4 linked regions of the Anolis sagrei genome follow. The protein of the gene in region 1 interacts with the protein of each later gene in a pairwise test. Links are inferred from orthologs where the notes say so. Each region holds a gene or a part of one and is shown in the gene's direction. Other genes may lie near its edges.

What was found.
Region 2: the proteins of RGS20 (region 1) and PTPMT1 interact in binary tests that used the Homo sapiens proteins (3 or more experiments, as listed by UniProt). The two-hybrid records come from large-scale screens. The link is inferred for Anolis sagrei from reciprocal best matches to the Homo sapiens genes RGS20 and PTPMT1.
Region 3: the proteins of RGS20 (region 1) and HOXA1 interact in binary tests that used the Homo sapiens proteins (3 or more experiments, as listed by UniProt). The two-hybrid records come from large-scale screens. The link is inferred for Anolis sagrei from reciprocal best matches to the Homo sapiens genes RGS20 and HOXA1.
Region 4: the proteins of RGS20 (region 1) and GLRX3 interact in binary tests that used the Homo sapiens proteins (3 or more experiments, as listed by UniProt). The link is inferred for Anolis sagrei from reciprocal best matches to the Homo sapiens genes RGS20 and GLRX3.

What each region holds. Positions count from the first base shown.
Region 1 is NC_090024.1:50,769,533-50,777,567, reverse strand, and holds the start of RGS20 (regulator of G-protein signaling 20), read left to right. Parts: upstream 1-4,989; 5' UTR 4,990-5,443; coding exon 5,444-5,554; intron 5,555-8,035. UniProt on the Homo sapiens protein: Inhibits signal transduction by increasing the GTPase activity of G protein alpha subunits thereby driving them into their inactive GDP-bound form.
Region 2 is NC_090021.1:280,295,037-280,302,936, forward strand, and holds the start of PTPMT1 (phosphatidylglycerophosphatase and protein-tyrosine phosphatase 1), read left to right. Parts: upstream 1-4,784; 5' UTR 4,785-4,944; coding exon 4,945-5,208; intron 5,209-7,091; coding exon 7,092-7,172; intron 7,173-7,871; coding exon 7,872-7,900. UniProt on the Homo sapiens protein: Lipid phosphatase which dephosphorylates phosphatidylglycerophosphate (PGP) to phosphatidylglycerol (PG).
Region 3 is NC_090026.1:91,198,420-91,206,477, forward strand, and holds HOXA1 (homeobox protein Hox-A1), read left to right. Parts: upstream 1-5,013; 5' UTR 5,014-5,120; coding exon 5,121-5,799; intron 5,800-7,065; coding exon 7,066-7,421; 3' UTR 7,422-8,003; downstream 8,004-8,058. UniProt on the Homo sapiens protein: Sequence-specific transcription factor. Regulates multiple developmental processes including brainstem, inner and outer ear, abducens nerve and cardiovascular development and morphogenesis as well as cognition and behavior.
Region 4 is NC_090023.1:193,040,665-193,048,049, reverse strand, and holds the start of GLRX3 (glutaredoxin-3), read left to right. Parts: upstream 1-4,316; 5' UTR 4,317-4,336; coding exon 4,337-4,542; intron 4,543-7,385. UniProt on the Homo sapiens protein: Together with BOLA2, acts as a cytosolic iron-sulfur (Fe-S) cluster assembly factor that facilitates [2Fe-2S] cluster insertion into a subset of cytosolic proteins.

The sequences.
Region 1 (8,035 bases):
TTCAGCCCCTTCCCTCCCTCCCAGCCCAGGAAATTTTGTTACATTGTAAAAAATGCTCTGAACCAATGAATTATTTATGCATTTTCCAAAAGTTTCGGAGGGTGCTCTTTCGATTTGTAATTTGTAATTACCAAATCATACGAATCTCCTTATTTACGAAACTACCTCCAAAATTTTGCACATCTCTATTTTTTCTACTTTTAAACTGGAACTCCCCATATCAGCATGGCCAGTGAAAGAATTTTGGAAGCTGCAGTCTAACATGGTAGTAGGCCACTTTCCCCACCTATAAACAGAACACCAACAGTACTATCCAATAATGAAACAGCTTCTTCCTTAGAATCTTGGAATTGTTTCCTCAAACTTCTTTTCTTGCAGCAAGAGCATAAAGGTGGTTCTTAATTTTTCTTAGTGATGTATGGTCTCGCAATCCAGTGGTCTTGGCAGAAATAAATAGTAGTGGATAAAAAGGAGCCATAGAACACTTTATGCACTCAAAGCCACTGTAGAATTATCTTTACAAATAAGAATTCAAAGCCAGAGTTGCAAAAAAATAAGTGATCAATAACATTTAAGGAATACAATACAATAGTTTTTTTAAAAAAAATAACATTTAGGTGGCTTCAAAGGCCCAATTTTTCCTTTATTTTTTGTAAAGCAAATGAAAGATCACATGTTTATATTTCTGAAAATTGCAGTTATATGGTATACTTGTACTACTTGACCTTTACCATTTTTAACTGGCTTTTATTGCATTTCCTCTTCAGTATTAGCTGCTAGAAAAGAAAGAGAATGGAATCCCCTGAAAACAAAGAATAAGCAAAAGGTCAAGATAACATAATATATCCATGTAATTCACAGAACTTACTTGACATTAAAAAAAGAAACCAAAAATACGGCTAAAGTTCAAATCCTTGTATATAGATGGCAAAATTTAAAAGTTTAACAAATTCAGATTAATTATTTCTTAATTCAATTTTATTGTAACCGTTAGAGTGGAAAGCATTCAGATAATTATTAGTTGAGAAGCTCTTGTGGCCCTTCCACACAGCCATATAACCCAGAATATCAAGGCAGAAAATCTCACAATATCTGCTTTGAACTGGGTTATCTGAATCCACACTGTCACATATTCTTTCCAGTTCAAGCAGAAAATGACCTCACTACCTTTGAGGATGCTTGCCATAGATGCAAGCGAAACGCCAGGAGAGAATGCCTCTAGAACATGACCATATAGCCCAAAAAAACCTACAACAATCCAGAAAATGTTGGATTTTATTCAGTGTGTGAAAGAGGCCTTGGGATTCTAGGTACTGAGGTTTCAAACCATTGAGCTTGTTGTCAAACCACAACTCTTATTTTCCAAGACTTTAAAAAAACTTTCACTATTTTGGAGCATCAGAGGTCGGGAGCAGACTGGTCCTTTTGTGGCATCACAATGTGATGCCTGAGGGCCCTTCCACACAGCCATATAACCCAGAATATTGAGAAAGAAAAACCCACAATATTTGCTTTGAACTAGGTTATCTGAGCACACTGCCAGTTCAAAACAGATAGTGTGGAATTTTTATTCAGCTGTGTGGAAGGGGTCCCAGACAACTGCCTCCCACTTCCTAATGATAGGACTGGCTCTGATCTCAAAACTCTACATGTATGCATGGTCTCTTCTGTGCATACATATATGCCATAGACCAGGCCCGTGGCGAGGGGGGGGGGTTTAGGGGTTCAACCCCCCCCTCCCCCCGAAGTTTTTCAGGTTAAAAAAAAATCTGGTTTACTCATTAATTTTAACAGGTTTACTAATGAATTTGGTTAACTGGTTAACTTCCCCGCCCTCCATAGACCAGCACCCGGTGCGCCTCTGCTGCTGCCATCTCTGCCTCTCCTTTCCCCTCTCTCTCTTCTCTGAAGCAGCGCGGGGAGGGGCGTTCCTCCAGCTAGCCAATCGCCTTCGGCCTTGCGCCCCTTCCCAGCCTGATTGACAGGAGCAGGCGAAGAAGGCAGAGCCGGCCAAGGAGAGCCTGTCTCTTAAAGGGAACGCTCGTGATTCAATATATTTATTGTCTAGGGGCACCCTTAGAAAGGCATATATAGAGGGAACGCTCGTGATTCAATATATATATATATATATATATATATATATATATTGAATCACGAGCGTTCCCTTTATATATGCCTTTCTAAGGGTGCCCCTAGACTTGTAGAATTGCTGCAGCTTGACATCCCTTTAAACTGAGCATTATGGGAGTTGTAGTTTTGCAAGGTCTTCAGCATGCACCACACTACAACTTACCAGAATTCCTTAGCGTTATTTATTTATCGTGCCAGGGAACCGAACAGTTGTGTTACATTATTTACAGAACAAACAAACAAACAAACAAACATACATACAAAAGACAGAGTTTGCAAGCTTGGTAGTTGATTAAATGTCCTTTAACCAGTAGCTGGCCACTTGGAGTGCCTCTGGTGTTGCCACAAGGAGGTCCTCCATTGTGTATGTGGCAGGGCTCAGGTTGCATTGCAGCAGGTGGTTTGTAGTTTGCTCTTCTCCGCACTCACATGTTGTGGATTCCACTTTGTAGCCCCATTTCTGAAGGTTGGCTCTGCATCTCGTGGTGCCAGAGCGCAGTCTGTTCAGCACCTTCCAAGTCACCCAGTCTTCTGTGTGCCCAGGGGGGAGTCCCTCATTTGGTATCAGCCATCGATTGAGGCTCTGGGTTTGAGCTTGGCAGGTTTGGACTCTCGCTTGCTGAGGTGTTCCAGCGAGTGTCTCTGTAGATCTACGAAAACTATTTCTAGATTTAAGTCGTTGACATGCTGGCTGACACCCAAACAAGGGATGAGCTGGAGATGTCTCTGCCTTGGTCCTTTCACTATTGGCTGCTACTTCCCGGCAGATGTCAGGTGGTGCAATACCGGCTAAGCAGTGTAATTTCTCCAGTGGTTTAGGGTGCAGACACCCCATGATAATGGGGCATGTCTCATTAAGGGCCACATCTACTGTTTTAGTGTGGTGAGATGTGTTCCACACCGGGCATGCGTACTCAGCAGCAGAGTAGCACAGTGCAAGGGCAGATGTCTTCACTATATCTGGTTGTGATCCCCAGGTTGTGCCAGTCAGCTTTTGTATGATGTTGTTTCTAGCACCCACTTTTTGCTTGATGTTCAGGCAGTGCTTCTTGTAGGTCAGAGCACGGTCCAGAGTGACACCCATGTACTTGGGTGTGCTGCAATGCTCTAGTGAGATTCCTTCCCAGGTGATCCTCAGAGCTCGGGATGCTTGTCTGTTTTTTGACATGGAAGGCACATGTCTGTGTTTTAGATGGATTAGGGATAAGTTGGTTTTCCCTGTAATAGGCAGTTAGAGCACCTAGAGCTTCGGAGAGCTTGTGTTCAACCATCTCAAAGCTCCCTGCTTGAGCAGTAATGGCACGATCATCAGCATAGATGAAACTTTCTGTCCCTTCTGGCATTGGTTTATCCCCATGCTAAGTCTATGAGACGCAAAAAATTAAGAGTCCCTCCCTGCAAGCACTATCTCAAGCAAATATTGACAATTTATTCACACTGTCATTACTTGCAGCAATAGCCGATGTAGCAAAGCAACCATGTTGGGGGGGGGGTGTTGAATGCTCTCACTAAGGAGGCCAGACTTGGTGGAGGTGGTTGACAGGGGCGGAGCTGCAGGCTATTGAAGGCTGTTCTGCCCCCCCCCCCCCCCCCCGCTGTGCTCTTTGCTTCAGCGTGACCTAAGAGGCAGGTTTCAACTCTCCCCCCTCCCAAATTTTTAACCCCCCCCCCCGAAATTTTCAAAACTCCCCCCCCCCCCAAATGTTCAACCCTCCCCGAAATTTTTTTCTGGCTACGGTCCTGCCATAGACAGCTTTAGCACATACACTTTGGTGGAACAGAGATATGAAAGCATATATTTATAACATGTAAGTCCCTCCTATGTAGTATTAAAGAGGCTCACCCATTGTTGTGCCTTCGAATCATAGAGTTGGACGAGACCTCGTGGGCCATCCAGCCCAACCACCTGCCAATTTGATACCCTCCAGATGTGCTGAGACAACAACACATTCATCTGGAAACAACATATATTTCAGGACACCTCCAAGGGGACAGGCTGGAGAAAACTCATCTATCTGTTTGATTAATTGATATCTCTTCTGTGGAAGATAATTGTGGGAGAGTTGTAGTTTTGGGGAATTTCTCATGTTTGAAATACCCATTCAATAAGTTCAGGAAGGTGGTATTCTCTATTCACGAGACCAGGGGCCCAATTTTAAGGCCATCCACTTTTAAAGTCAATCACCACCATCCCTGTCAAACTGGGACAGTCAGAAGACATATTATCCCAAGCCGCCCACCCACCCAGTTTCCAACTATTTGCACAAGTGGTGTAACGTTTAGTTGGACTCTGTTTCTTAGTTTGGCTCTCTTTTTGCACACTGGCTCTCATACAATACAATATATAATAATGCTCAAATGTAATAATTCATTCTCAAAAGCTGAGCAAACAGGGATTTTACAGCATGAGACAAAATCTATGAAAGACTCTTTGCAGTAATTGGATTAAAGCAAGAAAGCACAGAGTGAAACCGAAGGGCACCAATTTGTCACAAATATAATTATGGAAGTATTGCTGACAGACCGAAGTGGCCATATGATTAAGAGGGCTTAATGAATGAATCGGTGATAGCAATTTAACCTCCAGTTTTTATTCTGTATTCTGCTCTCACAAATGATGAATGTATGCAATACAATGTTGAACGCAACCAGTTAATCAGGTCTTATTGAAAGAAATAGATGCCTTTTCTGCTATTCAAGAGAAAATCAGAGAGTTCCTAGTAATCCACCTGAAATCTGTGGAAGTGATTGCTTCTTCTGCTAATATGGAATTTTCATTTAGATTCAAAGGATTAGTGAAACACCATCTGCTCAATCAACTGACAAATACCACTGGTCTAAATTGAACTGTGTCATCCTCTGCCTAATCCAGTCTGTCCCAGGCTATATGTAAACCCCAGTTAATTATACCGTGAATCTTGACACTCCGCACTAATTGCAAGAGCTATTTGAAGTTTAAATGTCTTTCTAGAGGCTTCATCTGAGATTCGACAGTCAAACAGCAAATTTTGTAATAATCTTGATCTCAAACATGCACTCAAGATTTAGGTACAAAGCTGGAGTAAAGAACGAATACTTTGTGGACTAAAAAAAGGAACTGCTACATGGAGATCATCCTGCTTGCCATCACAAGAATAAGCAGTGCAAGAAAGATCAAGCAATCTTCTGGAGATGAGAGTCGCATCCTTGTTCCCTTGTTACAAAGGGAAAATAATCTTATTATTAATCTTTCAGTGTCCAGGTTTAAGGTGGATTTCTTTAAGGCTGGTGCCATTTTTCAAAGATAGCTGACTGTGGAACTGGATTCAGAAACATGCCTTTTTATGACCTGTCAGTATGGAGGCAATGGCTATTTTCCTTTAGGACTCAAAGTGCAAGTGTGGAAAATGAAAATACTCCTAAGAAAGCTGAGGTGTTTTTCAAGGTAAGAAAAAAATACTAAAAATAGAATGAAAATAAAATTATTGCCTCATAGAAAATCCATTTGTTAAGTGTGAGTACAATGCCATTTTTATTGTCCAAGATGTGAACTGTAATACAAGTGAGTAGAAACATTATTGCAAAAACCATAACTTGTAGTTGAGGTCCTGTGCCCAAAAATAGATAGATAGTTGATCAATGGAGACTTCAGCCCACTATGAGATAGTTTCAGTAGTGCTACTTCAGTTTTGTTCATCTTGTTTTTCATGGCCTTAGTTTGACTCAAATTCTGTCTGCATATGGAGTTAGTTATTAGAGCAAGCACTAAATACCATATATGTATCACAAGGATGTCCTCTTGTTATGTATGCCATAGTTAAGATGTTGCTGCATCCAGTTCCTGATCTGTACAGTCACAAAACTATATTGATCTCTACACTTTCAGAAAAGCTACAGTGCTCAAACTATAAATGTAATTGTACAGGTTTAGCATGTTGTTATATGATCGTCAGGTGATGAGAAAGGGGTCTGCTGCACTTATTTTTTTATTTTGCGGGGAGAGAGAGCACCACACATTTCTTGTATTTTTGTTGTTGCTTTGCAAATAATAATCGATACTAGAGAAGGGAGAAAGTAGCTAATCTGCAACTCAAGGATCCTGACACAGACCCTGTATCCTTATTGTTGATGTTTGCCTTTAAGTCATATCTGGCTTACGGCTGTCCTAAGGTGAACCTATAATGAGGTTTTCTGAAGCTAAGTGTGTGGAACTTGCCCAAGGTTACCCAATGAGTTTTCATGGCCGAGTGATGATTTGAACTAGTAGAAGTACTAACTTTACTACCAGCCTGTTCTCCAGAATTATAATCCAACTCTCAAACTACTATGCTGTACTTCAGAATCAATGTTCAGTACCTGCTGTCCCTTTCTCTGGTTCCAAATTTATTATTTTGATCTCCACCCGAGTTAGAGGTGACTTGGCCACTCAGAAATCACGTAATTTCTTTTTCTCCCACTGAAGCTCTAGTACAATGTAAACTAGGCAAAGCAAAGTGATGGATCCATCTACATAAAAAGGAACAAGGGCCAGGAAGGGAAAAAATGGAATGTGGCTGCAGTTTTTAAGACTAATGGCTATTGAGGATATAAACCCCACTTTTTTCAAATGGGTTACAAATGATATTAAAGAGTGAGGTTATAAAGAATATTTATTCAGTTGTAGGATGGGATGCAATGGAAGCCAGAAAAATATGAATGTTATAACCAAACTATAGGCTGTCCATGATATCAGAACTAACTCTATTGAACAGTGACAGCCTGGCTGAAGGTCGAACCAAATCCTGCCTCATGAATGGAATTTAAACCGACGATTTATGCTAGCAGGCCTCTAGTCGTCTGCAGCTGTAGGGTGCTTCCACATTATAAAATTCCTGTATCTTGACATCACTTTAACTGTGAGGGCTCAATGCTATGGAATCCTGGGATGTGTAGTTTGGTGGTGCAACACTACTCGTTGGTAGAGAAGACTAAAGACCTTGTAAAACTACAAGTCCCATGATTCCATGGTATTGAGCTGTAGCAGTTAAGATGATGTCAAACTGCAGGAATGTTATAGTATGGATGCACCTTCAGTGGTAGTAGTAGTAGGAGTACTAACTTTACTACCGTCTCAAGAATGGAAAATGGAAGGTTGGTGGACAGGAAAAGAGATTTAAAGATAGGCTTAAAGCCTAACCTACCTTTAAAACTGTGGAATAGACACCAAGAACTGGGAAGCCCTGGCCCTTTAGCGTTCTAACTAGAGGGCAGCTGTTACCAACAGTGCTGTGGAATTTGAAAAGATACAAATGAAGGGTGAAAGGGAGAAACATGTCAAGCCAACCCTTGTTGGGACCACCTTCCATCTGGAAATCAATGTTCTCAGTGTGAAAGAACATGCAGATCAAGAATATGCCTCTACAGTCACCTACAGATCCACTGCCAAGACCCTACATTTGCAAGGCAATCATAGCCACGAGGGATCACCTATGATGCTGCTGCTGATGAGTAGTAGAAGTAGTAGTGCTAGTACAGAGCACCCCAAAGTGATTTGTATATGTTTTCTAAGGGGAACTATATGTAGTCTTCCCCAAGCTTTTCATCCATATACACATAAGCACTTTTCTTAAAATTGACCCAACAACCCCCTGCCCTTTTATATATTTTTTTTTCAAAATATAGGATCCAGTTCAAAGAAGCTAATTTCAAAAATGAGAACAATAAATCCCCAGCTTTGTATGACTTGGCATTGCTGATTTTGTTATATTGCTGCAGAACTAGATAAGGAAAAACAGCACAGAATAGCTGTAGCATATTTGTTTTTCAGTAAGCAGCCTCCTGCCACCTGAGCATTCACTAACATTGTTTCAGCTCAAAATCTATTTATTTGTTTCATTTTACATCACAAACCTAATATCAGGCCCTGAAGTCTATTCTTTTGCTGTCT
Region 2 (7,900 bases), on another chromosome or scaffold:
GGGACCAATCCCCAAGGATATGAAGGCCAAACTGCACAATTTTAATAGCAGGATTGTATCTAAACAAACTTTCATTTTATATTGATGATGAATGACTAAATGTAATGCTACTCTAATAATTCAGAGTTCTATTCTATTCCCATCTTTGCACAAGTATCAAATACATTATTTAGAGTTGCACTAAAGGTATTATAAAGCACACACACAACAGCAATAAAAGCCAGCAAGCAAATAATATGAGTTAAAAAGCAACAAAAACACAAATGCAATGTTTATTTGAAAAAATAATAGAGGGTTATCGACATAGTGCATAGATGGGCAACTTGAAAATCCAGCTGCAATTTTTAAATGCTACTTAATCTCAATCTCTTTATCCCACTCATTTTGCTGCTCTTCCACTTGTTCTTCCAAGTCCTGCCAAAAACACCAGCCCCTCACAGCATTTCCCACCATCTGACCATAATTGGGGGTGGGGGTGGACTGGATGGTCCTTGTGGTCTTTTACAACTCTGTGATTCCATGAAGGCTCTCCTTTTGCTGCCTGGTTGAACTCTTTCCCCAATGAGTCACCTCCTCTTCTCTCTCTTTCTCCTGCAGGATTTTGAATCAATTTCCCAACAATCAACCTCCTCACCTCACTCCTTCCACTGTCTGTGGAAAAGGGGATTAAATTAAATTTTAGCAGCAGGAGGAGAAAAGATCTTTGGTAGTGGTACTTGAGTTTTTGTAGTGGGAAGATGCAGAATGGAGTGAGGGGGTGGTGTTGCTGGCAGGACATGAAACACCAGGTGAAGGGGAAGTAGGAGTGAAATGAAGCAGGTGGATTGTTTTGGATGAGGCTTTGTAATGGGAAGGGACTGCTGGACTAGGGCTGTTGTAGGAAAAAGTCGGTAGCATATGTGTTGGGGAGGGACTTATTATATTCATGGCTTTCCACTTTTGCAGAAGTCCTGGGCCCCTAACACACACAAATTGGAGGGGGGGGGGAGACGCAACTGTAAAATGAAACAACAAACGAAACCTTTGCTTCCATTTATGCAGGTTACTGCATAAGAACTTCCACAATTCACTGTGATTCCAATACACGAAGTATTTCTGGTACTAGTCATTCCACTGTTTTAGTTGCTGCTAGTAAAACATGCAAGCATTTGTGGAATGCCCTCCTTCATCTTTTTCTGCTAATGATATACTGGATATAGTGTAAAGGCTCAGAAGCACTCAAAGCAAAGCAAAATATGTAAAAACATGTGACACACTCATTTTCTTATACATCAGTAGTGTATTTAGTACTTATGCTCAATATGCACACATACATATGTTCTTCTTCAGTAAATAAAAGGTGTTCATCACCCACTTATTTATATAAGCACAGAAGCAGACATATTTAATCATATTATCTCATACCTTAATATAGCCACTAAGAAAATCCTTGCGGGGGGAAGGGAGGAGAGAAACACTGACATTTAATAATAATATTTCCTAGATGCACAAATAATGTAAAGCACAATCCTGTATCTATTATTTACATCTGTAAACCAAGGGAATAAAATACTGTTTATGGCTGAATAGAGTAAATGGATATTTCAATCAAGCCAATTCAAACACAGGTTCTGTCTCCATGTAATTTGTAACATGGTAAGAAATTATGCACCATATCTTTTGCTGGAAAATCGTATCTTTTCAATAAGTACATTTGGACACAATGACTAACTAGCTGCCTTGGAATGACTCAACATGCCATTTATGTTTTGATTATTCTAATATCTCAATCAGCATTATAGTCTCTGAAAGAAGTTTTTGAAAGGGGGGCGCTACAGCAGGGAGCAGAGATTTCTTTCCCCCTTTTGATCTATAGGCAGAAACAGTTATGTCAATGGATATCTCCCACTACATTCTGGACATTATCTCTAAAAATTCATATTACTTCTGAAATTTGCATTCAAAGATATTTGTAGTCATGGCATATTTTTAGACATGGCTGTAAATTAGCATATGTAGGAACTGTATATCTTACTAGTGACATTGATAATAATACTTTTATTCTTATACTCTGCCACCATCTCCCTGAAGGCAATCGAGGTGGCTTACATATGTTCATAATACATAAAAGCAAAACAAACAAACAAAACCCCCAAAAAACAATCCCCCCAAAAAAACATAAAAGTAAAAGCAACCCACAAAACAAAATACCTTAAAATAAAAACTAAAATAAAAACATTGAGGAGTATTCTTCATAGGGACCTTGGTGGGATAATAACATCAAGAGGGTTTTTTTTTGTGCAGTTATATATATATATACATTTTGTTTTTATACAGTGCTTTAAAATGAAGTTCCATCAAGACAACCGAAACTTACTCATGATCAGTGTATATAGCTGATCTGGAAGAAGTGATTTAAGCTATGCTACATAGGATTGCACTTCCCTTGAAAATTCAGTCTTACAGTTGCTTTTTAATTAATCCTTCTGCCTCAGTTTTGAATGCTCAGTTAACAGCCACACCAAGGAGTGCTTTAGTCTGGTATGTCATCCCATTCTCTATTAAATTGCAAGTTTACTTTTCAGTTATTATGGAATAAGCAGGAATGTCCTTAAATGCACATTTCTGGCTGAGAATTTAGCAGAATTAGGTTTGTTCCTCTTACAGCTTTCCCTCTCAACTCATTTCATCTCCTCTTCTCTACCTTTTCCATTTTTCTCCATCATGTAATTACCTCTACATCATGATCAAAGTCAAGTTGAAGTGAAAAGAATATTCCACTCTCACTCCAATTGTTTTGTTTTTTGAAAGAGGATTCTATATCAGCACCTTCTATATCAGGCATGGGCAAACTTTGGTCGTTCAGGTGTTTTGGACTTCAACTCCCACAATTTTAAGGACTGAAGTCCAAAACACCTGGAAGACCAAAGTTTGCCAAAGGACTGTTCTATATCCACAGTATCATCCTACCAGACAGAGACCATTCTGTGGGCATTAGTTTTTTTCTGCCCAGCAAGCAACTGAATAAGCAGCAGCCAGTATAAGGAATAGAAGCAACGTCTTAAGAAATTTATATATATATTATATATATATATGTATAAAAGATGTTAGTTCTTCTAATTAGTTTTGGTGATGTCAGATAGGACTGAATATCATCCCTATATGTGGGACACAAGGCTAGGAAAACTAACTTCAATACTCATTTTTTTTTCATGTTCTGAGCAGAATAAAAATACAAAAGCATTAGCGAACACTATGTTATTGGCATATGAATGGAAAGACAGAAAAAACTACAGATCCTTGTAGAAGTATCTGAGAAAGAAACGCTCACCACACCCAAACACCCCAAGTACATTGCAGACAATATAAAATCACTCCTACATGAAAAGATTTTTCCCAGCACATTCTGAAACAGTACAGGGCAGAAGGAGACAGCAAACGTGAAATATTTTTTCAGAGGAGTATCCTAAGGAACGAGTAAATTCTGGCGAGCATTTCAAGCATTAATGTGTGGCTAAACTACACTGTTACTGAGCAATCTAACAAATACACTAAATCTCTACCCATATGAAATCTTTATTTAAAAAATAAATTCCTCCACTTCCACTTTGTTCGCCACCTTTCTGCCTCCTCATCCGTCTCGTCTCCCATTTCAGTGTGTTTCCCAACAAGCTGCTTCAAAACATGACTTGTGGGAGCCAAGTTACCAGAGGAGAGCGAGGGGAGGGAGGGAGGGGGGAAAAGACTTCCATTATAAACCAAGGAAGGCGTCTCTTGCAAGAGTCAGAAGCTCGCCATTTAAACCCTATCACGTGCCCAACCTTCTAGGGACTGGGACTGGGACCTCCCCCCCCCCCCCCCCAAGTCCATAAAACGACCCGGAATCCACGCCATGCGAACCCCTCGCTAGTGGGAATCCCTTTACACAGAGGCCCAGTGGTCCTGGGTTAATTTACCCGGGTGGGGTTGGGGGGGGGGCGCTGTTGCGGGTCAATCGCAGACTCTGTAACGGGGAGGGAGGCTCTGCGTCGGGCCAAAAAGCGGCCTCTAGGAGACCAGCCCCGCCCCTTCGCCCTGGGATGGCGGCGGCTCCCGAGTCCTGTGATTCCCCCCTCACCCCGCCCGCCTGCCTGGCTCGCAGCTATTTCAGGAGAAACAAGCTGAAGGGAAGCTTTACTCACAGCCAACACCGCTAACTTGCTGGGACAGTCGGCTCCCCCCATTTCCCACTAATGGGCCCGCCCGTTTTCAAAGCCTCGCGTCTGGGCTGGGCCGAACCAAAAGGACACGCGGGGGGGGGGAGCGGGGTGAAATGGGACAATCGGCTGTGAAGCAAGACTCCCCCCATTTCCCCCTAATGGGCCCGCCTGTTTTCAAAGCCTAGCGTTTGGGCTGGACCGAACCAAAAGGACACGCGGGGGGTGGGAGGAGGGTTGCGATTCCTTTCCCCTACCAAACTCCCCACAAACATACATACATACATACAAGCAGACATACACCGGCAAGGGAAAGGGAGGCCCAGTCAAAATAAAAAGCAGCATAATATTCCTCCCAGGAGGGAAAGAAGCCGCCCGGGAGGAGGCCGGAGGGCGCAGACTCACCGCCGGCTGCGTGCCGTCCCCTCCCTGCCCTTCCCGGGCTCCTCCTGGCGGCCGCCGCCCTCGCTTGCCCCGGGGGATCCGCCCGCGCCCCGCTCGGCTCCCTCCGCCTCAGGACGGTGTCGCAAGATGGCGGCACTTCCGGGAGAGACCATTCCAAGGCGGAGGGAGGGGGGCGTGTAAACAGGAAGGTGAGAGGGAGAGTCCGTGCTGGGCGCGCGAGGGAGGGAAAGAAGCCGCCCCCCTCTCCCAACGCACCAATGGGCGCGCCCGGCTCTCCCCTGAGGCGCGGCGGTTCGCCTTCCATCTCCGCGGAGGTTGAGGCTGTTCTCGGCGGGGCCGCGAGGATGAGGGCGGCGGCCGCGGGATGAGCTCGCCAGGCGGCCCTCCTCCTCCTCCTCCTCCTCCGCCGCTTCCCCTCTCGCTGCGACGATGGCGTGAAGCCGCGGGCGAGCTGGCCATGGTGCTCCGGAGCGCGCTGGGCCCCGGCGCCGCCCGGCTCCTCTTCTACCCGACGCTGCTCTACACGCTGGCCAGGGAGCGCGTGCCCGGCTCGCAGAGGCCCTGGTTCAGCCGCATCGACCACGCCGTCCTCCTCGGCGCCCTGCCGCTCAGGGGACGCTGCCGGCAGGTAAACCGGGCCCCGAAGGAGAAGGCCACGACGACGACGACGGGGGGGAGGTGGGGACACCGCGGGGTCCTGGAACCCACGCCACCTTCCCCAGGGAGAGAGAACGCAGCCCCCCAATTTCCCCACCCGCTCTCCCAAACTTGTGGGAGCAGCAGGCCGAAAAGCCGAACTTTTCTCAGGATGCAACTTGACAGTTTTATAGATTTATAGTTAACCTACAGTCAAAGAGCATTCTGAACTCCACCAATGATGGAATTGAACCAAGCTTGGCACACAGAACTCCCACGACTAAGAGAAAACACTGGAAGGGTTTGGTGGACATCAGCCTCGAGTTTTGGAGTTGTAGTTCACCTATATCTAGAGAGCACTGTGGACTCAAAACAATGGTGGATTTGGACCAAACTTGGCACAAATACTCAATTATGCCCAAATGTGAATACTGGTGGATTTGGGGGGAAATAGACCTTGACATTTGGGAGTTATAGTTGCTGGAATTTATAGTTTGTTGTTGTTCATTCGTTCAGTCGTCTCCGACTCTTCGTGACCTCATGGACCAGCCCACGCCAGAGCTCCCTGTCGGCCGTCACCACCCCCAGCTCCTTCAAGGTCAGTCCAGTCACTTCAAGGATGCCATCCATCCATCTTGCCCTTGGTCGGCCCCTCTTCCTTTTGCCTTCCACTTTCCCCAGCATAATTGTCTTCTCTAGGCTTTGCTGTCTCCTCATGATGTGGCCAAAGTACTTCAACTTTGTCTCTAGTATCCTTCCCTCCAATGAGCAGCCGGGCTTTATTTCCTGGAGGAAGGACTGGTTGGATCTTCTCGCAGTCCAAGGCACTCTCAGAACTTTCCTCCAACACCACAGCTCAAAAGCATCGATCTTTCTTCGCTCAGCCTTCCCTAAGGTCCAGCTCTCACAACCGTAGGTGACTACATGGAATACCATGGCTTTGACTAGGCGGATCTTTGTTGCCAGTCTGATGTCTCTACTCTTTACGATTTTATCGAGACTGGACATTGCTCTCCTCCCAAGAAGTAAGCGTCTTCTGATTTCCTGGCCACAGTCTGCATCTGCAGTAATCTTTGCGCCTAGGAATACAAAGTCTGTCACGGCCTCCACATTTTCTCCCTCTATTTTCCAGTTGTCAGTCATTTATAGTTTACCTACTATCAAAGAGCGTTCTGAACTCCACCAACAATAGAATTAGGACAAACTTCCCACACAGCATTCCCATGCTTTGAAGGGTCTCACAGCATTCCCATGCTTTGAAGGGTCTCACGGCAGTCTCACACACTCTCCCTTGCCCACACATGCGCACCACGCTGCCATGCGCCAAGCATGCCTGCTCTCCCCTCCTGCCTTGAGTCTCAAAAACAGCCCTCCCCTTGTCTGAGAGGCCAGCCAATCACAGTAGAGGAAAGCTTTTGGTGGGAGGTGTTTCCAAAAAGAAAAAGGACAGGCAGAGAGATCTTCACCCTTTTCTACCAAAGGGGTTCTTAAGACCATCAGAAATATGTTTTCTGATTGTCTGGCGGCCTCTCTGAAACCTTCTTGCAACCCCCTCGGGGGTCCCGACCCTCATGTTGAGAAACGCTGATCTAGACATTCAACACATTGCTTTTGAGTGGTAGTTATAATTCAATTTAAATTTGTGCCATTCCATATGTTGCTTTTTATAGAATACCAGTGTTTATTATGATTTCTATTAAAATAATGGATTTCTAAGTTTATTTCTGTGCCATTTGCCTGCCAATTTAAATTGAACAGATGTTTATAGTTGGCATCGAAGGAAAACTACTGGCAGCTGTTTGAGGAGACCGAACTAGATAGATGTTTTTTGAAAAGGGTATATGGCTATGCATTTGTTTTTGTTTTTTCTTGTAGCTGGTAGACAAAGAAAATGTTCGGGGAGTGGTCACCATGAATGAAGAGTATGAGACTCGCTTCCTGTGTTGCTCTCCCCAGGTGAGTCCCACCCAATTTCAGTGTTCCCAGAGAAGTGAAGATGAAAATGACAGCCACTAAAGGAAATGGAAATATAGATATACATACAGGTATACACACATATAAACATTATTTTGACAGGAAGGAATACAAGATCATAGAAATTTGAATGAGAATTGCTTACAATTCAGCCTGATCTGTTTCCACAAAGGCTATGGGAGAATGCTTCTTGTTTGAAGTCTTAATTTGTGACATTATTCTGTTACATCTTAACGGCAAGGATGGTATGACCCAAGGGCTGCATATGGCTCAGGGTCATTCTTACAGCCTAAAGGCACTCTCTAGGCTGAAAAGGGGAAATCATCAGCCCTGAAAGCTTTAAGCTGCAATTCTTAGTCAAGGTCTAGTATCATGCTTTCATGTGTTCAGTAGGAATTCAATTGTTGCTTTGTTTCCATTTTGGAAAAGGAAAAACTACATTAGATGTGCAGCCCTCTCAAGTTCATTGGTCTTCACTTCCCCCTTCCGCAATGAACTTGAGATGGACTTTAAGAAGCTTCCTTTCACTTTCTTTCTGAAGGCCAGGAAATAAAATCATGTGTTTTAAATACGTAACATTACTACCACTCAAGTTCCCACATGATTTTGGCCAATACACTAATACCCTTTCCATTGCTTTCCTTTTCTAATGGCTGATTATGTCTTCTGGGCTGCCTGCAGGAATGGGAGGCGATGGGAGTAGAACAGCT
Region 3 (8,058 bases), on another chromosome or scaffold:
GTAGACTCGTATCATGTAGTTAAAACTGCATTATATGGAAAATATAGTATAGACCCATATAATGCAGCTCAAACTACATTATACGAGTCTACACTGACCATATAATACAGCTCAAACGGCATGATATGGCCAGTATTGTATAGACCCATATAATGCAGTTCAAACTATATTATTCGAGTGTACACTGACCATATAATGCGGTTCAAACTATATTATTCGAGTGTACACTGACCATATAATGCGGTTCAAACTGCATTTTATGGCCAGTATAGTGTAGACAAATATAATGCAGCTCAAACTACATTATACACTGAACATATAACACAGTTCAAACTGCATTATATGGCCAGTTTAGTATAGACCCATATAATGCAATTCAAATTACATTATTGGAGTCTACACTGAGCATATAATGCAGCTCAAACTGCATTATTTGACAGTATAGACACAGCTTTATGGGATTCCCTTCGCAGCACAGATGGGGGCTGTGTGTTTTATTTTACACAGACAAGGCAGTCTTTCTCTTCGTTTGGGAGGGTTGAAAGAACAAAAGAATTACTCGAGACATGGCTTATGCTTGAAATAGATTTCCTCTCGCTATTCCAAGTACCTCAACTTATATTGATCTCTCCCCCCTCCCAATTAAAAAAAATCCCAATACACCCCCTCCTCAATTCGGAGATAGGAAGGCAAAGTCTATTGTTAGGTGCATGAAAATGCGTCCAGAACAACAAGGCAACAAAGGAGGATGTGGGGACGTGTTGCAGGTCTATCTGGAGCTTCCAGTTGGGAGCAAAACTTTGCTTGCTCCGCCATCTCCAGAGGCACCAGCCTCAGCTCCCCCCCCCAACCCTTTCTCTTCTCTCCTGCTCTATCTACCCCCCCCCCCCCGCCTCTACATCTCGATGTGTCCCCCCTCCTTGCATTGTGGTGAGCGGAGAGGATTGTGTAGGCCTCGGAATGCAAAGCGCTGGGCCACAGACAGTCTAACAAAAGGGAAAGATGTCTTCGGAACAATGGCGGAGAAACGAGGGAAAGTGGTGGAGGGGCTGGCGATGGCAGGCCTGGAGAGGGGGGAAGAGAAGGTTTGGAGGGGAAAAGATGGCCTGAATAGATAGATAACGAAAGAAACTAGGTCGGGAGGCAAAGAAGGAGATGATATATAATTATAGAGGAAGATGGAAAGAAGCTGCAGTAAGAGCAGGCCCATTCATGAATGTGAGGCAACACACTGGTAAATCTGCTTTAAGAGAAAGGTAAAGGTTTTCCCCTGACATTAAGTCCAGTCGTGTCCGACTCTGGGGGTTGGTGCTCATCTCCATTTCTAAGCCGAAGAGCCGGCGTTGTCCGTAGACACCTCCAAGGTCATGTGGCCTGCATGACTGCATGGAGCGCCCTTACCTTCCTGCCAGAGCTGTACCTATTGATCTACTCACATTTGCATGTTTTCGAACTGCTAGGTTGGCAGAAGCTGGGGCTGACAGTGGGAGCTCATTTTCTATTGCTTTAGCCAGAACTAATAACAAAAATTCAGATTCCAGAGTGTTAAGGTGGGTGAAATGCGATGTCTAGCCTTTCCCCTTTTTTTCTTAACGTCCCCTTTGGCCCAAAATCTCCAAACAAAACATCAAACGCGATTGATTTTAGCCCATGTGTTAATTTTCTCTTCCTGGCCTAGCATGAAACAACATTTCACTCCAAATCCAGCTTCTGAACTGCATGAAAAGTTGTGCTTATTCTTTCCCAGTGCTCTGGATGTTTCTACCAATGACATGGCGAGGAGGCAGGGACCAGGGGAACCAAGGAGACCATTGAGAAATGGGGCACTCTGTCAAGCTCCTCCTTCAGTCAACAGAGCCATGGAGAATCCGTGCTTTCTTGCTGTTTTTTTTCTGTCTGAGAGCAAAATCTGAGCACTGGGTGCAGGCAGGGGCTTTCAGCCAAAATTGAGTATTTTCCCCCTTAAAATCCCATCTGCTACAAACTGGAGTTTAGCTCTACCAAATAAATAAGGGAGACTTACTTCCTGTAAACATCCAGGAGAATGCTTGTGCCCAGATCCTATATATCAGGCCTAGACCAACTTGGGCCCTCCAGGTGTTTTGGACTTCAACTCCCACCATTCCCACCATTCCTAACCATTCCTAATAGCCTCAGGCCCCTTCGCTTAAGCGGCTGAGGGGGGAAAGGAAGGGGCCTGAGGCTGTTAGGAATGGTGGGAGTTGAAGTCCAAAACACCTGGAGGGCCCAAGTTGGCCCTGGTCTGAATTATATATACTTGACTGAATCTTGATTTTGATTGATAGGGATCCAAACCTGAAACCACTTCAGGAAACAGCCCCAATCTGGATTGGTAGCTTGGAGAACTACTGAGTGGCCGAATGCGCATGCGCAGATGCCTTTACGCGCAGACCGGCACGTACACGCATGCTCCAATGGATGGAACATCCCAGCAAACAACCCTCCATACAACAATGTCAACTTGCTCTTCGGGTTCATTTCAACTTTGCCCTAGGAATACACTATGCAAAATAAGAGCCTTTGCTAAACTAAACCTTGCAATTTTCGCCTCTCTCTCCAGGCAAAGTTCTCCAAGAAGCAGAGCTTACTCCTCACTGTATCCCTTGTCTCCTCTCCAGTCAAACCACCAGGAACCTTATCCCTCGCCCCCATGTTATGTCCTTTAGGCTCACCTTGCTTTTCAGATTTCAGATTTAACTTGAATGCTAAGCTCCCCCTCCGCATGCTTCGATAGGCCATATCTTTTTTCCATCTTTTTATGTGTAAACAGTAGGTCCCTGTGTTGTTGAAGGCTTTTGTTGCCAGAATCTCTGGGTTGCTGTGAGTTTTCCGGGCTGTATGGCTATCTCTCATGTTTCTGGAACATGTCAATGAGCCGGGGAAACTCACAGCAACCCAATAGGACCCTGTTTTCCCTTTCAGCAAGTTCCTAACCCATAGAAAGCCACCTTTCTTTAGACTCCTTTCAGGTCCGTAGCCAGGATTTTGATGCGGGGGTGGGTGGAGTGGGGCTCAGTTTGATTGGGGGGGGGGGCTGAGTTTGATGGGGGCTGGGGGAGTTGAGGATCTACCCTAGCAAACCTTTTGTATCATTATCCCAATACCCCCATGCATATGGGATATATTGAGCATGGTGATCAGATATGAATAAACATAACAGTTTAAATAATGTACCAGTAAGGCCTTCTCGCAGACCACCCTGAGAATTTCGGGGGGGGGGGGGGGCTGAAGCCCCTAAAGCCCCCTCCCCCCTTACATGCTTCCTCCTTTGATTTCAGTGAGTGAAATGGGGGACTTTCACACTGGGAAAAGACAGAGCTGGGAAACAATTACCAGGGGAACTACTGAGGCTGCTTCCAACGTCCCAGCATTGAATAACACAATCCCCAAATCTAGGGAACCTTTGATTTCAGTGCCTGGCGTCCACGAAGCCCCACCGAAGGGAAACAGTTCTCAAGTGACCAAAGGAAGCCCCCCCCCCTTCCATTGTTAAGTCTCCTCCCCCTAATTTCTAAGTCTGTCATCCAGTGTTGGTGTTTTCAGTCACAAATACCCTTTTAATGGGTTGTTGTGTGTTTTCCGGACTGCATAGCCACGTTCTAGAAGCATTCTCTTCTGACGTTTTGCCTCCATCTATGGCAGGCATCCTCAGAGGTTGTGAGGCCTGAGGATGCCTGCTATAGATGCAGGCAAAACGTCAGGAGAGAATGCTTCCGGAACGCGGCCATACAGCCCTGAAAACACACAACAACACAGCTTCTCGTTCTCTGTATCATTAGCCATTGGTTTGCAATGGGTAGACTGCAAGGCTGCAATTTGCTATGTCCCCTATCCCAACGAGAGGAAAATACATGTGCTTTAAACAGTCCTCACAACCTTTTAGGATGCCTGCCACAGATGCAGGCGAAACGTCAGGAGAGAATGCTTCTGGAACGTGGCTACACAGCCCGGGAAACACACAACAACCCAGTGATTCTGGCCATGAAAGCCTTAGACAATACAATACCCTTTTAGTTTCCAAACAGTGCATATGAGAGGGCAGGAAAGGACGTAGAGCCAGGCAGAGGCAGTTCCTGAGAGAGGCAGAAGGAAGGAGGGAAGAGGGAGGAGAGGAAGGAAGAGAGAAGGAGAAAAAGGCAGGGAGGAGCAGAGAAAGGCAGAGTTTGCACAGGCGCACTGAGGGCTCTGCAAACGCGGGCCGGGGAACCAGCTGCCTTGGCAACCCTTTGTAAGCACTTCCTCCAGCAGCCAAGCGGAGACGGATCGCTTCAAAGGCGGAGAGATGGGGGGAATGGAGAAACCTTGACTCCAAACCCACCCCACTGTCTCGCAGAGCCCCCCCCCCCAAACATCCAGCCCTCCGCCCGCAAAGGCACAATGGCGTTGCTTGCTTCATTCCCATGCAAATCATCCTTCCCTCGAGGAGGCTGGACCTACCAGCCCCGTTTTAACTCTTGCTCTGCGGAGGCGCCCGGGGTTTGGTTGGTGCCCCGCCGGAGATCACATCCATCCCCCACGGACCCCTTTCTTTCTCCTATTGACCCATTCACGCACCCACTGCTGGGTCCTTCTCCTCCATCTCCTTCCTTAGGTCTTGGTGCTAGAACCAGATCTGGTGCTGTCTGGGAAGAGAGAGAAGGAGGCGAGGCTGGCCCTCTACCGCCCCCACGCCTGGCTTCCTGGGCTTACCTGCTTGGCCGGGCTCTCCCCGCTCTGTCCCTCCCGCGGCGGGCGGGCGAGGATGGTCTCTCAGGCAGGGCGCCTGGGCTGGCTCTCCAAGCAGCCCAAGGCATTGACTGAGGATGGGCGAGGAGGAGGAGGAGGAGGAGGAAGAGGAGGAGGGGGGAGCGAGGGAGGTGTTGGCTGCGCGTCACCTTGACGGAGCAGCGCTCGGAATTTAAATGCCACCGCCAGGGCGATCCATCAAACAGGAAGGGACCGGGCCACGCTGGCAGGAGGCGCCGCTATTGGCTGCCGCCCTCACGTGGCCGCCTCCCGACTGTACATTCATATCATTTTTCTCCGGGGCCCCCATGGAGGAAGTGGGGAAGTTGGCACGGGCACCCGGGACTCCCAGCAGCCGGTGATAGATGGACTAGATGGACGCGGCGAGGATGAGTTCCTTCCTCGATTACCCGCCCATCCTCAACGGAGGAGAGCCCGCCACTTGCTCCCCCCGCGCCTACCACCACCACCATCATCCCCACCACCACCACCGCCACCACCACCCCGAGCATGGGGCCACCGCTAGCACCACCTTCCCGTCCTGCGCGGTCAGTGCCAACGGCTGCAACGGGGACGAGCGCTTCCTGGTGTCCCGAGGGGTGCCGCTCAGCCCCCATGCCCACCACCAGCCGGGCCCCGCCTACCAGCCTCACCCCGGCCTGGGCATGTCCTACCCGCACCCGGGCTACGGGGCACAGGGCTTCGGCGCCGGGGGCTACGGGCCCCACTACCCGCTGAGCCCCGAGGCAGAGGTGAACGCCGGGTACCCCCAGTGCGCGCCCGGCCTCTACTCCGGGAACGTCTCCTCCTCGCCCTCGGTGGTGCCCCACCCGGCGCAGGGCTACGCGGGGGCCGCGGTGGGCTCGGCCCCCTACCTCCAGCCCCCCTATGGAGAAGAGCAGCAGGGACTGCCCTTGACCAGCTATGGACACCCCTTGTCCCCTCTCCAGTCCAGCCACCAGGAACCCTGCGGCTCCCCCTCAGCTTCCGAGACCTCTCCTCCGGCCCAGACTTTCGACTGGATGAAAGTGAAGAGGAACCCACCCAAAACAGGTGAGTCACCGTCCCCATTAGTCGGGCTGGAAAGACATGAGAGAAGGATCCCATAGGATGGTAAAATATCCTCTGCAGACGGCCCATTCTCTCACACGATTTAAAAAGTCGGGCTGGAAAAGTTGGAAGTGCCAAACTTTCTTCTGCTCTTTCTTTCATTATTTCGAAATAGACCACTAGCCACCAGACCAGACCCAAATAGACTGAAGAAGAATTAGAGTTGGGTTCCTGAAGCTGGGCGATTAGCTTGCAAGGGGGACATGTTCTGATTTGGGGTTCTAATTGAAAGACAACTATTTTGGAAAGGGGATTTATCCTCCCATCAACTGCTCTTGGGGCTTCGAATTGAAATACTCAACTTTGAGGTCCATAGGTGTTTATTTATTCCTTCCACGAGGGTGGTAAAACATTAAACATCCGGGAGTTTCCTGGCTAACGTCCTTGCAGACGGCCAATTTTTTTTCACACCAGAAGCAACGTGCTGTTTCTCAAGTCATTCCCTTTGGGGTCCTAACAGCAACCAATTCTCTGGTGTCCTATCATCTCAAGAAGTTAGTCTCAGTATAAGTGGGGAGTCTTTGAGCAAACAAAGTCAGAACTGGCCCAGAAAGTTTCTTTCAAGGTGACAGGTATAAAGGCCTTGTCTCTTAATACCTGTCACCTAGAGCTTTGAGGAGCCCGGGGTAGTGCAATGGGTGGCACAATGGGTTCGAATCTGGGGAGAGGGCTGAGCTCCCTCTGTCAGCTCCAGCTCTTCATGCGGGGACATGAGAGAAGCCTCCCATGAGGATGGTAAAACATCAAACATCCTGGTGTCCCCTAGGCAACGTCCTTGTAGACAGCCAATTCTCTCACACCAGAAGCGACTTGCAGTTTCTCAAGTCGCTCCTGACACAAAAAAGAAAAAGAAACCTTGCATCTTGTGGTGTCCACCCTCCCCTTTGCTGGCAGGACTGAAGACTGACAGGTCTCAAATTCGAATCTGGGGAAAGCGCGGATGAGCTCCCTCTGTCAGCTCCAGCTCCCCATGTGAGGACAAAAGAGAAGCCTCCCAGAAGGATGGTAAAACATCAAAACATCCGGGCATCCCCTGGGCAACGTCCTCGCAGACGGCCAGTTCTCTCACACCAGTAGCGACTTGCAGTTTCTCAAGTCGCCCCTGACACAGAAAAGAAAAAGAAACCTTGCGCCTTGTGGTGTTCACCCTCCCCTTTGCGGATTGCGGTTGCCTTATTGTTCTTGTTGTCTTTTTTTCTTTTTCTCCAGGGAAAGCGGGCGAGTACGGCTACGTGGGTCAGCCCAACACGGTCCGAACCAACTTCACCACCAAGCAGTTGACGGAACTGGAGAAAGAGTTCCACTTCAACAAATACCTGACCCGGGCCCGGAGGGTGGAGATCGCGGCCTCTTTGCAACTCAACGAGACCCAGGTCAAGATCTGGTTCCAGAACCGCAGGATGAAGCAGAAGAAGCGGGAGAAAGAGGGCTTGCTGCCCATTTCGCCGGCCACCCCGACCGGAAGTGAGGACAAAGCGGAGGAGTCTTCGGAGAAGTCCAGCCCATCCCCGTGCACCCCCTCCCCGGCCTCCTCTACCTCAGACACTCTGGCTACCTCCCATTGAACTAAACGGGACCCACTCCCCAATCCTCGAAGGCACAATCCTTGCGTCGTTTTTTTTCTAGATTGGGTTCAGAAAGGCTTTAAACAAAAAAACTATACATTTCCTCCCTCCGGGTAGTTTTATGTCTCCACTGGCACTAAGATGTCAGAGGGGGGAACCAACCCCGCGAGATCCTGAACTTCTTCACTCTGGAAGCCAATCCCCTTGATTTCAGAGGACTTTCTTCCCCCTCCCCCTACAAATCGGTACAACGTTTAATCTCTTCCCAAAACCAAGGAAGAGAGCCAGAGTTGTGCAGTGAGCCTTTCACCACGATTTTAGAGACCAAGGCTGGATCAAGGAAACCCACAGGGTGACCTTGGGCGAGTCACACTCTCTCAGCCCTAGAAAAAAAGGCACATAACAAGGACAACTAACAACTGCAACAGCCAAGGAAAGTAATGTGGTGAGGCTTAGTTAGAGACTAACTGGAACCTCATTGATTTCAGTAGGATTTCGTTAGGATTGGTTTACTACCTTTGAATAAGTTCGGTAATGGGTATCCACAATCCCCTTTATTATTATTATTATTAGACTAAATTTCCTTCCTCAATTTTTAAATTCGGTTTCATCTCCCCCTGGCGCAATGGGTGACAGG
Region 4 (7,385 bases), on another chromosome or scaffold:
CCCCCCCCCCCTTTATATTCATAAAAGAGCGTGTGTGTGGGTATGTATATACCTATGTCTATGAACTCCCCAACCCAAATTAATACATAATAAACAGTGCTGATATTCCCAATAGTACTACAATTTCCCAGTTCTGGAATACAGTATGTTATGGCAGGGGGAGGTGGGAGGTTTTGAAGTATTCTTTGTAGACATGTGGTTACATTTTTATGTATTTTATTATACAAAATGGAGAGATAAAATTTATGTATAAAATTTAACCTCCTCTTTGCCTTGAATTCATTTAGCTCTATCATGCATTTTCAACAATTTCTTGTCCTCTGTCCATTGTGATGACTTTGACGATCTGTGGGTAAGGAAGAATGGGCTTTTTAAAGCCAGAAACCTTAAAGAAGTAAATCCTATTTTCCTCTTTCAGGCACAAATAGTGGCTCCAGAGGGAGTACAGAGTTCTGTTTAACTGTGTTAATTTTTAATGGGGGAATTTCTCCCATGAACACAATGAAATAAAAACGGTGTTCGTCAGGAACGTTTCTTACCCGATTCAATAATTCCCCTCCTGCAGTTTTCCTCCCATAATGTGGGATCTCCATAAACAATTTGCAACCCTACACTTTTCCAGCTTTTACAGGTGAGATAAATTTCGATGATGCAGTCAAGGACCATCAACCGCAGATACAAATGACTAATCCCTGGAATGCTGATTGGACGACTCATTAGTAAGTCACTCCATAATAAGACGGCAAGTGATGGGCCGTGCGGTCCATAGGATATTGCATACCTCTTAATGTGTTTTCACCTAGGCTTGGATATGGCTTCTTTAATCAGGCAATCAAGTTTCTTTTAACTTGGGGCGCATGTATCTGTACATCTGGAAACTCCAATTTTCATACTCAAAGAGCTGTGCTTGCTGTTGCCCCTTTGCTTTCAGCAGGGCTTGTTCTGGCTTAGCGTTGGGAGGATTATACTGTCTGGGAGGTTTGCCAGATTAATTTGGCCGGCTGCCTGTTGTTCAATCTGGAGCTACTGAAGCCCTCGGTTTCTCAGGGACCCTGCTGCCAGATATTCCATATGGGATGCCCAGAAATATAGCCTAACATTAGGGAGATTTAGTTCTCCCAAGTCTCGGCGGGCCTATACATTTTTAATGACAATTCTTGTTTTTTGCCTACCAAATGAACCTTGAAAAGGTCTTGTGGAGCTTATTAAAGTGAGAGGTTTTAAATTCTCCCAAACAGTTGTAGTTGATATAAGAGACTAGGGAGGATATTTATTTTAGGAAGCAATATTCTTTCCACAACTGCAACAGAGATCCATCCACTTGGCCAGATGATCCTTAATGTTTGGTGGCATCAGGTTTGTGTTCAGTTCTTGAATGGGCTCATTAACGTCTTAAAACCCAAATAAGGATGTGTAATGGCTTAAGTAGCCTGGTCAGAGATGTCCTAAAAACAGTGGAGTGAAATAGCATTACAGCCAGTCCTCCATATTCACTCTGGTTAGGGGTACAGGACCACCACAAAATCAAAAAGCTCCTGGATTAATCGCTGAGCCTGGAACCCCGGGTTTCGGCAGTGGCTAGGGGAGCTTTTGCACAGTTAAAACTTGTGTGCCAGCTGCACACGTACCTTGGGAAGTCTGATCTGGCCATGGTCGTACATGCTCTGGTTACATCCTGAATAAATTACTGCAATGCGCACTATGTGGGGCTGCCTTTGAAGACGGTTCAGAAACTTCAGCTAGTCCAGCGGGCAGAAGCCAGATTACTAACTGGAGTGACATACAGGGAGCATACCACCCCCCTCTTATGTCTGCTCCACTGGCTGCCGGTCCACTTCTAAGCTCAATTCAAAGTGCTGGTTTTGACCTATAAAGCTCTATACTGTTCTGGTCCAGCTTACATGTCCAAACACATCTGCCTCTATGTCCCACCTCTTAATTTAAGATAATCCGGGGAGACCCTACTCTCGCTCCCGCTTACATTGCAAACTGGTTTGGCTGGGACGAGAGATAGAGCCTTCTTGGTGGTGGCTCCCTGCCTGTGGAACGCGCTTCCAAAGGAGATAAGAACGGACTCATCCCTCCTGGCTTTCAGGAAGAAAGTGAAATTGTAGTTGTGGGACCAGGCTTTCGGACAGCAGACTTAATTAGCACTTTGGTTGCAAATTGACTAGAATGACAATACAGCTGATGATATTGTATTATTGTTTTAATTAATGTTTATGTACTGTATTAATTAATTCTTTATATATTTAAATTGTGTTGTATTATTTTAATTGTTTATATGAAGCGGCATCGAACTGTTGCCTAATGTAATCCGTCCTAAGTCCCCCTTCGGGGGTAGAGAAGGGATGGGTTAGAAATAGCGGAAATAAATAATAATAAATAACTGGGCCGGGGCCATTTAGGAAATAAATAATAATAAATAACTAGGCCAAGGCCAGCACTTTGAATTATGCCAATGCATTAAAACTGCAGAGCTTTAGAAGTGTTTTTCAGTTACCCCAAAATGTATATACTCTCCCACAAAACATTTTGTTTTATATCATGCACTCAAGAGACAAAAATGAAATAGACTTTGCTAGAGAATGGAAGAAAGACTCAGTACCACCCGTACAGGAATGGGTGGAAAAAATCAGAGAAATAAAGGACATGGATGAATTGACTTTTTTGTTGAAGAAAAATACAGGTATGATACTAAGAAGAACGAATTGGGATAATCTCCATGAATATCTGGATAATTTGGGAAAATAAGAAACAAGAGAGATAATTTCTTTTTGAACTTATTTTATATTTTTGAATAATAAGAAGATATGATCCAAGAAGATGGAATGGAAGTCAGTTTTTTTCTTTTTTTGTGTATTTTTGTAGATTTTTTTTATTTTTTTCCCTTTTTTATTTTTTTTAGGGGTTGTTTGGGATTTTAGTATATATTTTTTTGTTTCTTCTTTTTTCTCCTTTTTTTCTTTATTTCCTCACTTTCCTATACTTTATTGCTCTCACTCTTTCGTTGTAATCTACATAAAAATTAATAAAATTCTAATTAAAAAAAATGAAATAGACTTTGATAAGCTCCATTGGCTGCCAGTTTGCTACTGGGCTCAATTCAAAATGCTGGCTTTAGCCTAAAAAGCCCTAAACGGTTCCGGCCCAGCTTATCTATCTGAACGCATCTCTTCCTACAAACCCTCCAGGAACTTAAGATAGTCTGAGGAGCCCCTGCTCTCGATCCCTCCTGCCTCGCAAGCACGTCTGGCGGGGACGAGAGACAGGGCCTTCTCTGTGGTGGCCCCTCGGCTGCGGAACTCCCTGCCTTGGGATATTAGATCAGCCTCCTCCCTCCTAACTTTCCAAAAAAGAGGAAAAACTTGGCTCTTCGAGCAAGCATTCGGAACCCCAGAATAAATAGACAAACTAGAGTTGGAAAAGGACCCAGCAACGGCCAAGACAATGTAACGGATGAGGATTTGAACGAGAGGACATAGTTCTTTTTTAAATTGTTATTATGCACTGTCCTTTATGTTTAACTAGCTGTCCCCTGCCACACATTGCTGTGGCCCAGTCTGTTGATCTGGAAAATAAAGTAATGAGGAAGTTTTGGTTTCTAATATATGTAATTTCTTTATGCTTGTGGGTAAACAGTGTTTCTTGCTGTTTCTTTGTCAGTGTTGATGTGTAGAGTGTCTGGTTTGCCACCCTGGAACTCATCTCCATTTCTAAGCCGAAGAGCCAGCGTTGTCCATAGACACCTCCAAGGTCATGTGGCCAGCATGACCACATGGAGCGCCGTTACCTTCCCGCCAGAGCGGTACCTATTGATCTACTCACATTTGCATGTTTTCGAACTGCTAGGTTGGCAGAAGCTAGGGCTGACAGCGGAAGCTCACGCCGCTCCCTGGAATTGGATAGAAATAATGTAAATAAATAAATAAATAAATAAACATATTTGGTTTACTCACAACCTTCATGTGTTCAGCATACACAGGTACAAAACGTATCAGTCCAGGTTCAGATATGTTTGACATGGTGTCCTGTGCAGGACATTTCTCTTATAATAAAACAGTTATAGTCAAAGAGAGAGAGAGCATGTGGTCTGCAGCCCCTTTTGCAACCTCTCAGGAACCATAGAGTAAAGGAAGCTGCATACCGGAACATACATACAGGAAACAGTAAGCAACAGGATCATAGGTAAACATTACTGGCGTTTGGGAATCACTGCTTCCAAGGCAAGGCTTCACTTTACCCCAGTGCGCATGCGCGATCTTTCATCCTCCGTTCTCGAGGGTGAAAGCGAGATTCAAAAAGGGAGGAGGCGGGAGAGGCGAAGCTACGGCGCATGCGTGGCGTGCCGGCGATAGGCTGGGAGCCTGGTAGTGTCCTTAGCGCCTCCCTGCTTCTCTTCTTGGCGGCGGCGCGGAGAGCAACACCAGCCATGGCAGCAGAAGGAGGCGGAGGCGGAGGCGGAGGAGGAAGCAGTGCCGGAGCCCTGGTGGAAGCAACGTCGACGGGCCAGTTCCAGGACCTATTGCAGCAGCCGGGCAGGTAAGTGAGGAAGAAAGTCAGGAGGTGAGCGCTACTGCGCATGCGCACTCTTTCCTCTGTTGGGATAGACTGAGCTTCCTCTCAAGTAAACATGGCGGGGTAAAACGAGGCCTTGGGGGGTAAAGGGAGGGCTGCCCTTCCCTCTTTCACTGTGGACTGAAGACAACCCCACAAAGCTATCCAAGTTGATGGCAGGGATCTGCTGTCATTCGCAATAGGAATTCATTCCAGAGCCCAAGGCATTTTGCTGCCTGAGGCGAGGTTTTGGTTGTTGTAGGTTTTTCGGGCTATATGGCCATGTTCTAGAAGCATTCTCTCCTGACGTTTCGTCTGCATCTATGGCAACCATCCTCAGAGGTTGTCAGACCTCACAACCTCTGAGGATGCTTGCCATAGATGCAGGCGAAAAGTCAGGAGAGAATCTCCTCTCTTGTAGTTTGAAACAATGGCTTCAAACTACAAGAGAGGAGATTCCATCTGAACATGTGGAAGAACTTCCTGACTGTGAGAGCCGTTCAGCAGTGGAACTCTCTGCCCCGGAGTGTGGTGGAGGCTCCTTCTTTGGAAGCTTTTAAACAGAGGCTGGATGGCCATCTGTCAGGGGTGATTTGAATGCAATATTCCTGCTTCTTGGCAGGGGGTTGGACTGGATGGCCCATGAGGTCTCTTCCAACTCTTTGATTCTATGAATGCCTCTAGAACTTTTTAAGCAGAGGGCCAGGTCACAATCATTCAAACTGTTGGAGGGCCAGGTTATAATTTGGGAAAAAAAGAATGAATTACTATGCACACTCCACATATTTTATTTGTAGTGCAAAAAATACTTTAAAACAATACAATAATTAAAATGAAGAATAATGTTAACAAATATAAGCTTATTAGTATTTCAATGGGAAGCGTGATCCTACTTTTGGCTGATGAGATAGGATTGTTGTTGTTGTGTGCTTTCAAGTCATCTCAGACTTAGGTTGACCCTGAGCGAGGGCCGGGTAAATGACCTAAGGCCTTAGTTTGAGGACCCGTGCTCTAGAACATGGCCCTATAGCCCACAAAACCTACACAACCCAGTGATTCCGGTCATGAAAGCCTTCGACAATACACTTTCTCTTTTGTTACATACCAGCATACATCCACATATATTGTAATATGGGTGTTTATATATATATACATATGTTCTAAGGTAAAGGTAAGGTTGTCCCCTGACGTTAAGTCCAGTCGGATCCGACTTTGGGGGTTGGTGCTCATTTCTAAGCCGAAGAGCCGGCATTGTCTGTAGACACCTCCAAGGTGTCCTCCAAGAGCCCCTGGTGGCGCAGTGGGTTAAAGCTCTGTGCCGGCAGGACTGAAGGTCACAGGTCACAGGTTCGAATCCGGGGAGAGGCGGATGAGCTCCCTCTATCAGCTCCAGCTCCTCATGCGGGGACGTGAGAGAAGCCTCCCACAAGGATGATAAAAACATCAAATCATCCGGGTATCCCCTGGGCAATGTCCTTGCAGACGGCCAATTCTCTCACAACAGGAGCGACTTGCAGTTTCTCAGGTCGGTCCTGACACGATTTTAAAAAAAAAAGCCTCCAAGGTCATGTGGCCAGCATGACTGCATGTAACGCTGTTACTGTCCCGCTGGAGCAGTACCTGTTGATCTACTCACACTTGCATGTTTTTGAACTGCTAGGTTGGCAGAAGCTGAGGCTGACAGTGGGAGCTCATGCTGCTCCCTAGATTTGAACCTGCGACCTTTCAGTCAACAAGCTCAGCAGCTCAGCAGTTTAACCCACTGCACTCATATATATTCTATGCACAATAATAATCATAATCATAATCATGTATTAATTTTTATCCTGCTTTTCTCCCATGGGTAGGACTCAAAGTGATGTACAGTTGTTAGGCCCAGCTTCTGCCAGCCTAGCAGTTCAAAAACATGCAAATGTGAGTTAATGAAAAAGTACCGCTTCTGTGGGAAGGTAACAGCGCTCCATGCCGTCATGCTGGCCACATGACCTAGAAGGTGTTTACGGACAACGCCGGCTCTTCGGCTTAGAAATGGAGATGACCATCATGTCCCAGAGTCGGACATGAATAGACTTAATGTCAGGAGAAGCCTCTGTCAGCCTAGCAGTTCAAAAATATGCAAAAGTGAGTTAATAAGTACCGCTTATGCGGGAAGGTAATGACACTCCAGCCAGTCATGCTGGCCACATGACCTTGTAGATGTCTACGGACAATACTGGCTCTTCTTCTTAGAAATGAAGATGAGCACCATCCCCCAGAGTTGGACACGACTAGATTTAATGTCAGGGGAAACCTTTACTTTTACTAAACCAAATAAACACATTGCCCCTACATAAACCATAAATAACAAATTAGTAATAATAATACTTTATTTGTAACCCACCCTGTCTCCCCGAGGGGACTGAGGGCAGTTTCCAACAAGTAGCAAAATGGCAAACATTTAATACCAAAAACAGACAAACGAGATAAAATCAAAGACAGTAGACAAAACAATTTCAGTATAAGCCTATAAACTAAACCAAAAAATAACCTAAATTAAAAACTTTAATAAACATAATCTAGCACATCACACACATTTAACATGATAACATCCCACAGGTTACAAGTTAAACTAAGAAGGCATAGAAAGCATAAGGTAGTTTATGCTTTCTATATATACTATTAAAATTCAATGAACTTCAGTCCACTGGGGTTACCCATAAAAACAGTTGTACTAAACTATTAGGAACTCTGTCTTCATTAGGTTGTATAGCAGCATTACCAAGTCTGAATAACATTCAGAGATGTATATTACCAGTAGTTCTCTGGTCGTTGCCTATTATAAGTAATCA